Linked DNA regions of Elephas maximus indicus. The protein of the gene in region 1 interacts with the protein of each later gene in a pairwise test. Links are inferred from orthologs where the notes say so. Each region holds a gene or a part of one and is shown on either strand. Other genes may lie near its edges.

Evidence for each region. The genes of interacting proteins can lie anywhere in the genome.
Region 2: the proteins of PNMA1 (region 1) and TNNI1 interact in binary tests that used the Homo sapiens proteins (3 or more experiments, as listed by UniProt). The two-hybrid records come from large-scale screens. The link is inferred for Elephas maximus indicus from reciprocal best matches to the Homo sapiens genes PNMA1 and TNNI1.

The regions. Positions count from the first base shown.
Region 1 is NC_064828.1:86,445,067-86,453,110, forward strand, and holds PNMA1 (paraneoplastic antigen Ma1), read right to left. Parts: upstream 3,017-8,044; 5' UTR 2,255-3,016; coding exon 1,193-2,254; 3' UTR 443-1,192; downstream 1-442. Other genes in the region: MIDEAS (mitotic deacetylase-associated SANT domain protein), read right to left, coding at 7,253-7,499, 7,857-8,044.
Region 2 is NC_064836.1:9,948,937-9,956,023, forward strand, and holds the start of TNNI1 (troponin I, slow skeletal muscle), read right to left. Parts: upstream 3,063-7,087; coding exon 2,978-3,062; intron 1-2,977. UniProt on the Homo sapiens protein: Troponin I is the inhibitory subunit of troponin, the thin filament regulatory complex which confers calcium-sensitivity to striated muscle actomyosin ATPase activity.

The DNA.
Region 1 (8,044 bases):
TTTTAAGCTCTTGATATAAAATGGCTGCTGTATAATTCCAAGAGTCATTTTACATAGGTATATAATGAGTCATAGTTACTTCTTCAATGAAACAAAAATGTTTAGCTGAAGAGATTTAAAAAGGGATAAAAAGGATTGCCAGATAACCTCCCTAAGGCTCATTTCAGAATTTCCTAATATTTTGTAAGTTACTATTTTACTTAACATGTCTATTTTACCTTCTAATATTTGCCTTGAAGAAAACACGTAAAAACTGAATGCATTAAATTACAATTTAAACCCATAATATGATACAAAGTTTAAAAAGATAGATAGAAATGAGGTTTGATTTTTTTAATGACATGTGGAATGTCCTAAGAAAACAGGATACAGAGCTTACACGGGAAATTTTTATACAAGAAAACTAGAAGACAATAGAATTTTTAAAATATTTTTATTAGTATACATCTATTTGATAGCTTCAAATTTAGAACACTTAGGATTAGCATGACCAAGGAGACCTACTATTGGATAAGGATCTGAAATGGATAACTGTAACAGGTTCGTATCAACCTCCGCATGCGATTTCTGTATCTTGTACAGTGAAAAACTGATTTACACAGCACTATCGAATTACAGTATTTTTCTAATACTCCATGTTGCAGTCTCAGAATACTTTTCAGTTAAACTGATTCAGATGAGAAACAGGAAAATTTGTATTTTGAAGTTGAATAAATATCTAGCAAATTCCTTTCTTTCCATTAAATCAGGAACGATTTACAGTAAACAAAAACTATCCACGGTATCAGTTAACACTAACGGTTTTCACACTTTTACTGAGCATGTTCCTATGAACCAGGCCCTGCACTAAACTTCTGAACATGCAATTTCTCATGTAATTACCTCAATGGCAAGTGTCACAGGTTCACTTGTTTTTCACAACTGACGATGGTGGCACGATGACAGCTTACACTGAGCTCATGTGTCCAAGCCTTTACATGGCATCTCAGCCAGCAGGACGCTATGGTACTGTTGCAGCTCCCGGTGTTCGCTTGCACGATTTTACGAATATTACACAAAGAAGTAGGCCTGACTTCCCCCCCAAGAAACAGAACATGGCTAAGTCTTACTAATCTGAGACACACCTGTACGACACAGACAACGGAACAGCTGTGATCTAGGTCTGCCCTAAAGCCCCTCCGCTTCCCGAGGCTCAGAAGTGCCCTTCCAGGCCTAACTGCAGGAGGGCGGCCTCGGCCTCCTCCTCCTCCTCCTTGGCCTCCTCCTCGCGGATCTGCACCAGCAACTGGAAGAGGTTCGGAGCCGGCCCCTCCGCAGCCCCGGTCAGCCACAGCTGCCTCCGGATGGCCCCGCTGTGGTTGGCCCCCGCAATGACCTGCTCCAGGCGGGCCTGGTTCACGTTATCTTTATCTATGGCCCCCTTCTCCACCACCTTCTGCAGCAGAGGCTCCAGACGGATGACATAAGCAGATAACTTTTCTCCCGGGTTCTGGTAAGTGTTCAGAAACCTGACCTGGGCATCCCGGGAGCTCTCGACGCTCCCAAACACCTGCTCCAGCGCCTTCAGACACTCGGCGGAGGTTATCGCAGGGTTGTTGGTCTTGAGGATGCGAATGACATCGGCGGCGGGGCCTCTGAGGCTCTCCACCAACCGCCGCCTCTTTTCTAGATCGGACACCTGCCACTCCTCCATGACCTCATTAGTGTGCTCCAGCCAGTGATCAAAGGCCTCCTCCCCAGGGCCCGGGATGTCCCTCCCCGAGAACAGCGTCAGCTTCTTGTACCATATGGACTCGACAAGAGGCTGGATAACATTATCCAAAATATAGTTAAGCATCTCTGCCGGCATTTCTGGGCCTGGAGCAGGAGCGGGGTTCTGAAACCCAAGGACTCGGGCGACATCTTGCACTGTCCACCCCTCTCTTGCCAGGAAGAGGTGCAACCTTTCTAAAAATTCAGCATCGGATGTCGGGGGCTTAAAGACCACTTTCCAGACCCCTCCCTTGCCCGGCATCTCCCTGGGTATGTTGGCGTAATCGACAGCGCCAGTGAGCTCTAACAAGGCTGCTTTCGCATTCTCTTCCCTCCAGAACATTCTCCCAAGCACTCGATAGGGCACCTGGGGCATCGCAGCCCGGAGGGTATCTTCGATTTCAGCCTCGTCACAGTTCACTGGGATCCCCCAGACCAGCAGGGCTCTCTGGGAGTTCACATCCATCCCCCTGCACCAGTCTTCCAACAGGGTCATCGCCATCTTCCCACCTATCAAATGGGGCCGGCTCCACAAGTACCGGTTCGATGGTGGCTCACTCTGCAATAGGGCTACGAATGATACCAGAGCCTCCCCCCCCCAAAAGCCCGAGGGAGGCAAGCTTCACGCAGTCACAATTAAGAAACGACACCAGAGTCCTGCTTTCGCCCTTCCTCCCTGCCCCCCAAAGTACTCCCCCTAAGTCGGTCTGCGCGTCCTTGGAGCGAGGCCTCGGGATGCTCAGTCACGCGGCCGCCGCCATCTTGCGTCTCCGGTCGGGGTCCGCGGCCGAGGTCCGTCGCCTACAGACAGGGGGCGAGTCGCAGCACAGACGAGGAGCCGCCGGGCGGGAGACGATGCCGGGGTGCAGTCTTGGGGCGCGGTCGCCTCGGTCCGCACCCGGGAGCTAGCTGCTGCTCCGGGAGTCGACTGGGCGTCCGCGGTCGGAGCGCGGCCTTCAGACCGGGGAGGAGCGGCTGTTTGGCAGACGAGGACTCTGACGCCCCCGGAGGAAGAGGCTGTCCCAAAGTTGTGGAGGCGGCAGCGGCCGATCAGCCCGCGAGGTCAGCCCGCGAGCGGCTACTTCGCGGGCCCGACGACCCCCTCTCGGCGGCAAGGACAACCGAGGGCCGAGGATCGAGGCCCGAAGGCGGAGGCTATACGGACAGGGCAAGCTGGAGAGGAAGAGCGGCCGGAGGGCAGCGCGCGTGCTGTAGCTGTCTCTGGCGGAGCGCAGCAGCCGGCGCGTCCTCCCCGCCGCGAGCCGAGCGTTACTGCCGCAGAGGGCGGGGCCAAGCCTGACAGGCGGCTTCCAGCCCGCCCCGCCCCGCCCCTGCCCTCCGTAGCCATGGCAACGGTGTCCCAGGCGACGCGAAATTCGCGCGCTTTGGCGGCGGGCGGCGTTGAGCAGTTGCCATGGGGCCGGCGAGGGGCTCCTGGCACTGATCTCTCGGATGGTGTATTTCTTTTTTCATATATATATTTTTTTATAATGAAAGAATACTGCTAAAAGAATCTAATTCTGGAGTGGATCTAAGATACTGGTGGAAATGCATCCGTCGTGGCCGACTTGTCTACTCAGGTAGCTCATTCCACCGGTCTATGCTGCGTAGAGAACGCTCACCTCAGCACCCGGCCTCGCTGAGCCACCTGAGCACACTCTCTCTGCACCTCCGTGGTTCAGCCCATTGAAATTGTAATGTGGGAAGTGTGCCATTTATGGTTTTTGAGACGTTGAGTTTAGACTTTGTCCTGTCTAAAATATCGTAAAAGACATTATTTCTACTCAGTCATCTTTGTAGGAAGGCAAACACTAGTATGATATTTCCCCTCTCCTGGCTCCTGGACAATGGGCTGATAAAAATTGAATCCTTACGGTTCAAAAATGTCCAGTGTAATCCCTTGTAAACAAAACAAGGCCTACTGACGTCAATCCCAGATGGTGAAAATCCCCCCAAAAGAACACAACATTCAACTCTGAATTTTTAAAACCTTATTTAATAAAAGGTTTAAAGATACAGAGGGAACATTCAAAAGTAAATAAGTTACATAGGTACATTACAATCACATCAGCAAGATTTTCTTTAGTGTATTAATTTTTTTATAAAAAGCACACAAAAAATAAAATCTTCAGTCTCGTCTATCACAACTGTACAGCAAAAGAGGTAATATTTCTATATATATGTACACTATTTTAATATGTAACAGTCTTTTTAAAAAAGGGTGCCACAGGCAGCAAACACACAAAAGGCAGTGTCTGATCATTTCTCTCAAAATAAAAGGAATATACTTATTTATATGCTATTAAAATATTTGTACAATAATTACAGACTGTCAAGGCTGTTCCTGTGCTCTGTCCCCTCCAACAAGGCCTTCAACTTTAGAGACAAATGAGGAAAAGGTGAAACAGCTGCAAATTGTTAGAGGCAAATATTAACACAGAAAAATGTGGGGAGGACATAGAATTGTTTTATAAAAATATGTATTACTTCCTGTAAACCTAAGGAGTTAGGTTTGCCAGTCTGGTAATAAATACCGACCCAGAAAAGTAAGTCCCAGTGAAAATATATTTAAACAGCTGAGGCTTAAGGATGTGTTGTATTCCTCCTTCATCTTAACATCTGGCACATGAGAAGAAAGAGTTTAGGTCACTGAGGCAGTTAAATATAGACGATCCCTTTAGACATAAGCAGCGCACAACCTCTGTGCCAGGGGAGGCCCTCACTTAGCACAGCAGGAGGTGGGGCAGCAGAAGGGGCAGGTATGTACCTTAGCTGTGAGGGAGGCTGCTGAAGGCATGGAGAACGGTGCGGACAGCACTGTCTCCCTGGGTGGGTAAGAGACCTCAGAAATGGTCTGGAACACAGGCACTAGGTCAGTTTCACGCCCTTAGCTGACTGCAGATGGACCCTGGGAAATGGATGTGATGAGACAGTGTGAGAAGGAGGACATAAAGCTGGAGGTGTTTGTCATTTAACTTCCTAAAGCAAAGAGCTCTGAATAAAAGAAGAAAAAGAGGAACCTAATGCATTCACAGGGAGAAAGCACCATTAAGGATATACTTATGCCAGCTTCTATGGCTGCACCTACCTTATTGGCAGGTCACTCCACAATTGCATCTGCCCTCTGAACAGTTTAATTTTTCACATTGCATTCTAGATATAAATCCATCCTGGAGCATGAACCCTCCTAAAATGCGGTGTCTGGTGGGGTAGGCTGCTGGAGGATTAATACAGACAGGTACCATCTTAATTTTTCCCACCTACATTCACCTGGTCTGGTCTCCATAAGCTTAGGAGAAAAGAATCACTTTCTTATTAAAAAAGATTTCCAAATACTAGAAGCCACCACTGAACAGAAGGGTCTCACGTGCCTGAAGGAGGTTTCTGTTACCACATGTCCATAAAGGGGCCTGAAACAAAATACAGTTTAAGTAGAAAAAACCTTGGGAAACATAAGGAGCACTTTGGGGCGAAGCTTTGAAGGCACTCATATTACACAAATGATTTAAAAGAGAGCCTAAATTTGCTACTCTCCTGCTTCTAGATGGTATACCAGATCTTTGCAATCTCCGGACACTGAGTTTGTAGAAGTCCATGGAGAAAACAAGTAGGAAGTTGGAAATCAGGGTAGTTGTCCAGGAGTCTGGGGGGAGAATAATTTTGTTACTCCTATAGTTGGGGTCCTGCGGAACAACATTAATGCATAAATGAATACTGAAAACTACCTGATAGTGCATAGTTTAAAAACAAAACTCCCTCCCCACTCCTAGTTACCAACATGACGGCTTGAAGCTCTCCTGGGAGGACCAGCAGAAAGAATACTTTTCGGCTCCTTCCTAACACGTTGATTTGTTAGAACTTCTTTTTCACAACTAAAGTTGAGTAACAAGATCAAAAAAATAACTCATCCCTCCTATGGGGCTGGCAAGGGAAGGGGCCTCCAGGGCCTTTCAGCCCTCTCACTTCAGTGACTCCTTGCCAAATTCAGCTTCTTACAGCAGAATCCAGACCTGATAAACTCAACCAGAATTCTGGCCACCTGCCAATCTCCTCAGGCAACTTCAAAGTACAGCCAGGGAAGAGGTAGCAGAGGAAAACTGCCTTTGATCTCCCCTGCTCCTGCTAGTCTCTCCTGCTTGGGTGACACCCTCCACTCTACCCTGTCTCAGTCCTGCTATCATTCCTATTGGCAAGAGCTTTCAGAGCAAAGAGGTGGGGGACCTTAGGGCCTTAGCGAGCGGGGTGCCAAGAAGGTGCCTTGTTTTGGGATAAATGCACTTGGGCCTCTGGAAAGCAGGAGGCCCCTGGTCCCTGAGAGGATGTTAAAAATTAAATATTAAGAATAAATAAATAGCTCCCAAATCACACGAGTCAAGGAATGAAGGCTCCTTTCCAATCTAGTTTGGAGACCTCCCCCTCCCAGGGAAGGATGCAGAAATCTCCAGCGTGCAGGGCTGGGGGCTGGGCTGTGGGTACCAGCACTGGAGGTGGGGGCAGGCAGCTGCTGACAGAGGCAGGCGAGGCGCTGTGCCCACCCAGGTGGAGCAGGCTGGGCTGCTGGGGATCCTCCCTCCTGGCCTCTCCAGAACTGCCTCTAAGCTAAGCCCCCTAAGCAGCTTCCAGAGCCCAAGGTATTTGGCAAAGAGGTGCAAAGCAGGAAGAGCCAGGCTTATCAGAAGCTCCCTCAGACCTAAGGCTGCACACAGCCCTGCAGCTTCCAGCCTCTGCAGTTCCCCTCCCTCCAGAAGGCTGAGAGCTCAGACAGCACTCGGGCCCCTCCCCCCAGCAGGGCTGCTAGCAAGCAGCAAAGGGATAAGTACCTGTCCTCGATCTCTCTCCCATGAGGCATCCTGGTGGCCTCCCTGCAAGGAGGAGGTGGCCTCTCTGAGGACAGGGTCCCTGGAGCAGCTAAGACCTGGATGTTGCTGTGCAGGGGGCAGTCACAGGTGCCAGGCCGAGCCCTCTCTCAGAGACCCTTTTTCCAGGGTTTGGGGCAAGGCCTGGCAGCTTTTGAGGTCCACTGGGGAGGGGAAGTAATGGCTGGATGGGGTGAGCTTGTGCTTGGCTCCCCATGGCCACTTCCTAGAGACCAAGTGGGGGACAAGGAGGCAAAGAGGAAGGAAAGAGGCAGCAGAGGTCAGAGTGTGAGAGGCAGCGGTGGCAGCAGCTAGAGCCCCTTCCAAGGGGCATCCTGAACCCCAGCAGGGACTTCCACGAAAGCATGAGAACAACTTAAGACAGGCCGAATGCAAAGAGAACTGGATTCTGCTGCCCGTTAACACTGCTCCTGGGGCCTTTATAAATAAAAGAGCTGTTTATTTTACTGTGTGATTTTTTCTTTTTTTCCAGAGAAAAAAGTCCATGTGATTCTCTCCTCACACCCTCTTGAGGTTCCAAGGCATTTCCTGGTCTTTCTGCAGGCTGGTGCAGGGAGGGGCAGGGGAGCCCCGGGAGAGGGGGGCCAGCCCCTCGCTCTCCTGGCTGAACCCTCCAGGTCTTCTCAGCCCTCCTCTCCAGCCCCACTCTCCTCCTTCAGGGCCTGCTGGTGCAGGGAGCTCTCTTCTCGCAGAGCCTTCTGGTGGGGGGAGGCCGTGGCAGCAGGAGCAGCAGCGGCGGCGGCGGCAGCAGCGGCGGCGGCGGCGGCGGCAGCAGCCTCTCTCTCCTTCTGTTTCAGAGCTGCGGCCTTCTTCTCCTGCTCTGCGTGGCTCTTCATGTGGGCGCTGCGGCTCTTCACCTTGTAAAACACCCTGTAGCCGGGCAGGAGGGAGCTCAAGTAAGATGTCTGGGCCACCCACTCCCCAAGGGCCCCTAGATTACCCTGTGTGTGAGGGAGAGAGATGGGGGCTCCCATGGAGCCGTCCTGACTTGCTCCGAGTCAGTGGCACACCCTCACAGGCATTGACTCAGGGATGGTTCCTGATTCAGTGCCATCACCCTTCACTTCTAAAAGCTGCCAAATGATATCATTCCCCTAGAAACCCACTAAGCCAATGAGAAAACAAGATGAAATCTCTTACTTCTCCTCACAAGCCCAGCTTCTGCCCTGCCTCCAACTGCCAGCCAACCTGCTAGGTAGCCAGTGGAGACAGAGCCTGTCATCTTACCTGCCACATTTTTTACAAGGGAAAGTGTTCTCTTGATTCTGGGTCTTATTAAATGTCTCTGTTTTTTTCCTCTTCTCCGAAAAAGGTAGTGCCCTCCGTGACTTCCCTGCCCCCTCCCTTGGCTTCTCTGAGGCCGGGCCACCAGCAGACCCAGGGGCATTGGACTCGTGGCTTCGGAGGATGAGAAT
Region 2 (7,087 bases), on another chromosome or scaffold:
CCTGTCAGCTGATGTGACCTTTCCTTCCCAGCCCTGCTGAAAGCTACCTCTTCCTGAAGGTCCCACAGATCTCTCCTGCACAGGGTTTTTTTTTTCTCTCTCTCTCTCCCTCCCTCCCCGCCCTCGTAGCCAACAAAGAATGTTTTCTTTTGTGTTTAAACCTTTTCTTGAGTTCTTATAACAGTGGTCTCATACAATATTTGTCCTTTTGCAACTGTTTCATTTCACTCAGCATAATGCCTTCCAGATTCATCCATGTTGTGAAATGTTTCACAGATTCATCATTGTTCTTTATTGTTGTGTAGTATCCCACTGTGTGAATATAAGACAGGCGGCAAAGGCCCTAAGATCGCAGGATGCCTGTTTGAGAAATAGAGAAGACACTGCTATGGTTAGAGGAGAAACAAGAGAAATAGGCTATGCTTTATCAGGGAGGTAATAGGAGGTTGAGTGTGGAACCTAGAGACTTAGTAAGACAGAGAACAGAGAGGCCCCCAAATCTGCAAACAAAATAACAAGAAATAGGCCAGGGCGCAGAAACAAAGTCATTCTCCAGAACAGAGAGGCCGGGTATCTAAAAATAGCCCGCAAACTTCTTTAAAGTTGCATTTCAGAAGCAGCTGGAGAAAACCAGGCCCCCGGGACTTGCACAGAACATCCACCTGTGATCCCTGTGTGACCTTCCACCAGGGGCAGTGAGGGGCTACAGCCCCAGCCAGGTCGAGCCTGGGGAGTGGGAGACTGCGCAGGTGTGACACCCCATAATAAGTCCTGCCCAGAGGCCTCCAGGACAGGAGCCATCTTGGAAAGCTGCATGCGCCTTAGTTAACATACCCCCGCCTGTGTCTCTGAATAAACATGAATCTTTTCCCCTCCCAAGAACTTTTAAAAACTCGCCCGTCGTTTGTTCTGTGAGATGAGAGTAAGCGTTGCTCTAGGCCCTCCTTTGTCTCCATTTGCAAGCCTCTTCAATAAAGCTTTGCTCGTGTGGAAAACTGCTCATTCTTGACCAGTGAGAGGCAAGAACCTTATTCCAGTAACAAATATACAATAATTTGTTTATCCATTCGTGTGCTGATGGGCACCTAGGTTGTTTGCATCTTTTTGCTATTGTGAACAGTGCTGCAATGAACATGGGTGTGCATAAATATATTCATGGGACAGCTCTTATTTCTCTAGGATATATTCCAAACAGCGGGATTGCTGGATCATATGGTACTTTTTTTTTTTGGAGTTTTATTAAAAACTGTTCAACGTGGTCAAAAGTCTCATCTGTTTGACTGAAGTTCAATGGTCCAAACTATGAGAACTTTAGGAGCTTCAAAGCTAAACAAAACATAAAACAAAGAACTGCCACAGGATTTTTTTTGTCAGAGCCACCACCCTCTTGGTTTTGGACATTGCCTCACCTGTCTTTTCAGGTGTGCAGTTTTACCTTCCATCTGAGAAAGCTGTCTCAGGGGCCAGTAATGGGACTTCCATTTCTATCCCCTCAGGATTCAGGATGGTGCCCCCAGACAAACTTCACGGAGCATTGGAATCCCCTGGAGGGCTTGTCATACACAGATGTTGGGCCCCACCCCTGGAGCCCTGGTATCACAGTGGTTACAACACTCGGCTGCTAACCAGGAGTTCAGTGACTGGAACCCACCAGCCTCTCCTAGGAAGAAAGATGTGGCAGTCTGTTTCCATAAAGATTTACAGTCTTTGAAACTCTATGAGGCAGTTCTACTTTGTCGTTTAGGATGAGTCAGAATCAATGGGTTTATGGGCCCCACCCCAGAATGTCTGATTCACAGTCTGGGGCGAAGCCCAGGATTTGCATTTCGACCAAGTTCTCTGGCGTTGCTGCTGGTCCAGGAACCTCTGTAGTTATTGTCGCTGTTAGCTGCCGTCAAGTTGGCCCCGACTCATGGTCACGCACAACAGAAGAAACGCTGCTCAGTCCTGCATCATCCCCCTTGCAGATCAGACCATTGTGGTCCATCAGGTTTTCATTGGCTGATTTTTGGAAGTAGATCACCAGGCCTTTTTTCTTAGTCCATCTTAACCCGGAATTTCCACAGAAACCAGTTCAGCATCATAGCAACACAGAAGCCTCCACTGATGGACAGGTGACAGCTGCACATGAGGCGCGTCGGTTGGGAATTGAACTCAGGTCCCCCTCATGGAAGGTGAGAATTTTACCATTGAACTGCCACTGCCACGTGTATATCAATTAGTATATGGGTTGGCATAACTACAGGCTATCAATTAGAAACAGGTACCCCTCTGGGAGGACACAGCCCTTCAAATAAACAGCTTGACTTCAGTCTGTGCTCACCCCTCAGTAGGTTCCCTTGAGTCGGGCGCACACAGCCCAGCTGAGGCAGGCAGCCTCAGAGCCCAACCTTTCTGAGAAATACCTGCTCTGACTTGTCCACCTACACTGAGCAAAATAAGCTGCCCCTTCTTCTGAAATTGTCCTTGACAAGATAACCGCAGATGGCCTCAACCAGCCTCTGGGTGGAGACTTAACATCCTAATGAAGAAAAAATCATCCCTTCCTCCATCCTGGGGGATCAAACCCTTTGTCTAAAGAAAATCCATAGTCACGCCCAAGCCCTGAGCACCTGCGGGAAGGTCAATCCTGAATATTCATAATGAATTTATATTTCCTTGTCTGCTCTTTGTGAAAGCCCACTTCCCTGGGCTGCCTACAGCAGTCTTAGAGACAACAGCCCGGATTGCTCCTTTCCTTCTACAATGAAGTAAAGGCGTCTTTCTGATCTCCCTCCTTGGCCTCTTGTTTATTGGCTGTAACAAGTCACCAGGGGCAAAACCTGCGATTTTCACCGGCAACACAACCAATAGGTGCCCAGCTATCTGGCCCATCTCCTGCCACTGACCTGCATACATCCCGGCCTCCCAGAGAAAGCTGGAGGTCCCGGAACACCCAGCCTTCCATTCATTCATTCATTTATTCATTCAGCCACACCAGTGGCATCACTGTGGGAGGTGCGGACCACACCCCCTGACACTGTCAGGCGGTGACACCACATTGACCCCAGGGTCCACCGCATGGTCGGCGGCGTCAGGCGGGAGCTGCCAGGGAAGGGGCCACCAAGGCAGTGATGTCACTAGGGTTGATGTCAGCCGTCACCCAGTATGGTAACGCGTCACCACCACCCCACTCCCATCACCCACCAGTCAGGGTGCAGGCTGCCTCCACCTTGGCCAACGGGAGAGGGGAGGAACTGCAGGAGTCACGGGGGGGCGGGGCCGGGAGGGGCGGGGGCACGCAGGGCAGTCTTTGGCCCTGCCATGGGGGAGGTGACACCATCAGTTACTACACTGGGTGACATCAACCCTAGTGATGCCACTAAGCCACACCTTATGGAGGCTCCCTGTGTCCCCAGCACTGTCCCAGGTCCTGGGGGATACAATAGTGAACTTGGAAATGTGGCTGCCAGGCCTGGTGGATGGCCTGGGGCACCTGGACACAGCTCTCAAATTTCCCAATGCTCTCTTTGCTTCCTCACTGTTGGTTCTGCCACGTAGCAGATGGTGAGGGACAGAAATGACTTCGTCAAAGGGATGAACTTGGTCCCAGGGCTAAGAGAGAAGGGTGAGTCAGTGGGGACAGAATCCCAGCCTGCTATCCTTCCCTGGTGCCAAATCGGTATCCCCTGCCCGGCTTCCCGGGCATGAGACGCGTGTGCAGGGCTGCCTGTTCAACACTGTCGCTCAGGCATCTACAAGCCCCCACCCCTCACTGGTCCCAACTGAACCCAGAGTCCACCTCTCCAGTGGGCTCCTCATTCTCTTCTCTGCATCATAAAAAATGGCACAGCCACCACCCTCAGCCAAACTGGAAATCCAGGGCCATCCCCCTCCGCTCCCCCCTCACTCGGGAGGTCAGCTGAAGGCCAACTTCAGTCCTGCTCCCCTCAGGGGTCTCCCTGGTCTGCCCTCCTCCACCGACCCAGCCACCATCTCTGCTCAGACCACTCACGTTTAGCTGCTCTCACCAACATCTACAGGAGGGTCACCCTCCCCACTGAACCACCTTTCTAAAATGAGAACATGATTAGGTCACTCCCCTAGGTCGCCCATTTTCTTTCCTGATTCCACTCCTCCCCCAACCCAGCCTCCACACTCCCCTGACTCCAGCCACACTGACTTGCTCACAGTCCCAGAGCAGCAGAGGCTTCTCAGAAGGCCCTCCCCGCCCACCATATCGCAGGTTAGCTGCCTCCTGCCTCCTCCAAGTCTTACCGGAGCACTCACTCCTCCAGGAAGCCTGCCCTGACCACCTGGCTGAATTAAGTGCCCCTCCACCAGCCTCCACAGCCCTGGTGCTTCCCTCTTTTCTTCTACGTAATACACGATAGCAAAGTCAACTATTTTCTAATCTGGGAGAAACTCATGTGCTGTATCCTCAGTGCCTAGCACAGTGCCTGACACATAGTAGGTGTCCAATAAAATTTTCATTGAATAAACAAATGAACATCAAGGAGAAGAATCTTCTGATCAGAGGCAGTGCAGAAAATTGCCCCTCACAACTTAGAAGGGGTTCTTTCTCCTCGTTGTTGTCGTTCGGTGCCGTCGAGTTGGTTTCAACTCATAGCGACCCTATAGGACAGAGTAGAACTGCCCCGTAGGGTTTCCAAGGAGCAGTCAACCGTATTTCTCCTTGGGGCTCTGAAATACAGTGGGGGAGCTCATGGTGAAGGACACAGGGGTTGGAAAGCCACCTAGTTCAAGTTCTTGGCATCTACAGTGTCCGGGCACCAGCTCCCCTGCCCCCCCCACACCCAGGGAGGAGCAGCCACAGCCACTAGCCGACCTTGACATAGGTGATGAACCACTCTCCCCCCCAACAATGTGTTCAGACATATATAGAAACAACTGGGCAGCTGGCTTTTGTTGATGTTAATCTTAGCCCCTCAGAGGTCATGATGGACTATGACCACCCCTTCCAATCCCTGCCCAGGCTTGGCCTAGAATGTCAGACGGAAGCAGGAGCCAACACAGCCCTGCCTTTGTTTCTGGTAAACACTATACCGCTGCCCCTCCTCCCCTCCCCCACCTCCAAGCCCCATACCTCCACCAACTCTAGGCCCTCTTTCTTCACCTCTCTCACATTCCTGCCTCCACCCCATAACTGTTTTTCAGAAGCTTTTTTTTTTGCGGGGGGGTGGAATTGACCAATCAGGATGCCAAATGCCATTCCTTTCACACTCTGGCCAGGATGTAGTCTCCAGAGCTCGGCTGATATTATGTATCTCACAAAGCTATTGTAATGATTACCCAACGAAAAACCAAACCCACTGCCATCTGACTCAGAGCGACCCCATGGGACAGAGCAATATCAATGGATTTTAATGTAACAGTATGAAAACTTCATCCATATGGTTTCAGATTCTGCATTGCAAGTTGTTGTTGGGTGCCATCAAGTCAAGAACTGACCCATAGGGTTTTCTAGGCTGTAATCTTTATGGGAGTAAATCGCCTGGTCTTTCTCCCATGGAGCCATCGTGTGGGCTTGAACCACCAACCTTTCAGTTGGCAGCCGAACTCTTAGCCATTGTGCCACCAGACAAGTTTTGGTATAGTACCCAAGAAGGATACCCACAATTATCTGAAAAGGCTATTGAAATACTCCTCCTTTTCCAACTGCACACCTGTGTGAGGCTGGGAATTTTTTCATACACCTCAAAGGAAACGCATTACAACAGATTGACCAAAGAAGCAGGTATGAAAGTGCAGCTGCTGTTTATTAAGACAGACATTAAAAACATTTGCAAAAGTATAAAACAATGTCCCTCTTGTCACTAGGTATTTTTGTTTGTAAAATATAGTTATTTTGACAAAAACGTGTCATTTATGTTAACATGTAAAATGAGGTGAGTATCGTAATTATTAAATGAATTCATAAGTTTTTTTTTTTCAGCTTTCTCAGCTTTAATTTGTAGTATGTTAAATACTGACAGATATAACCCACTGAACTATGGTTTGGTTTTAAGATGACCGCAGGGAATATTTTTGGTTTAAAGTTTAAAGATTATCTCAGAGCAATAGTTTTAGGGGTTCATCCACTCGCCATGGCTCCAGAAATTCTAGAGTCCGTGAGAATTTGAAATTCTGGTCTGCATTTTCCCCCTTTTGATAAGGATTCTTTATGGAATCTTTGATCAAAATGCTCAGTAATGGTAGCCAGGCACCATCCAATTCTGGTATCTTGGCAAAAGGGGCAATTGTTCAAGGAGACAATTAGCCACACATTTCATATCCTCCTTCCATTCCTGACTCTCCCTCTTCCTCTGTTGCTTCAGGTGAATAGAGAACAATTGTGCCTTGGATGTCTGCTTGCGAGCTTTTAAGATCTCAGACACAACACAGTGAAGTAGGAGGTAGGTCAGAAGCACTAGGCACGTTATCAGGCCAATTAACTGGAATGCTCCAGGAAACCATGCCCTTGAGCCTCCAAGCCAAGGAACCAAATCCAGTGAGGTGTTTGCTTGTACCTAAGCGGCCTCAGCAGCTACTCTTTTTTTTTTTTTTTTTGCCATTGTTGTAAATATCTCTATCGCATAATTTTTACCAATTCAACTTTTTACAAGTGTACAATTTATTGACAGCAATTACGATAACCAGCTGCGCAACCCTACCCTGAATCAATACTATTTTTCCACCACCGTTAACACCCCTTTTCCACCCTACCTCTGCCCCTGGAAACCACTAATAAACTTTGATCTCCATACAGTTGCTTTTTCTTGTTTTTTTTTTTTAATATATAAGTGAGGTCATATAATATTTGTCCTTTTGTGTTTGGCTTATTTCTCTCAGCATAATGTCTTCAAAGTCCATTCATATTGTAGTGTGTACCAAGACTTCATTTCTCCTGCTGGCTGAGTGGTATCCCACATTTTGTTTATCCATTCATCTGTTAATGAGGGTTTAGGTTGTTTCCACATTAGTGTACAAGTCTCTTTTTGAGTCTCTGCTTTCAAGTCTACGAGTGGAATTGCTGGGTCGTATGATAGTTCTGTTGTTCGTTTTTTGAGAAACTGCCACACTCTTTTCCACAACGGCTGTACCATTT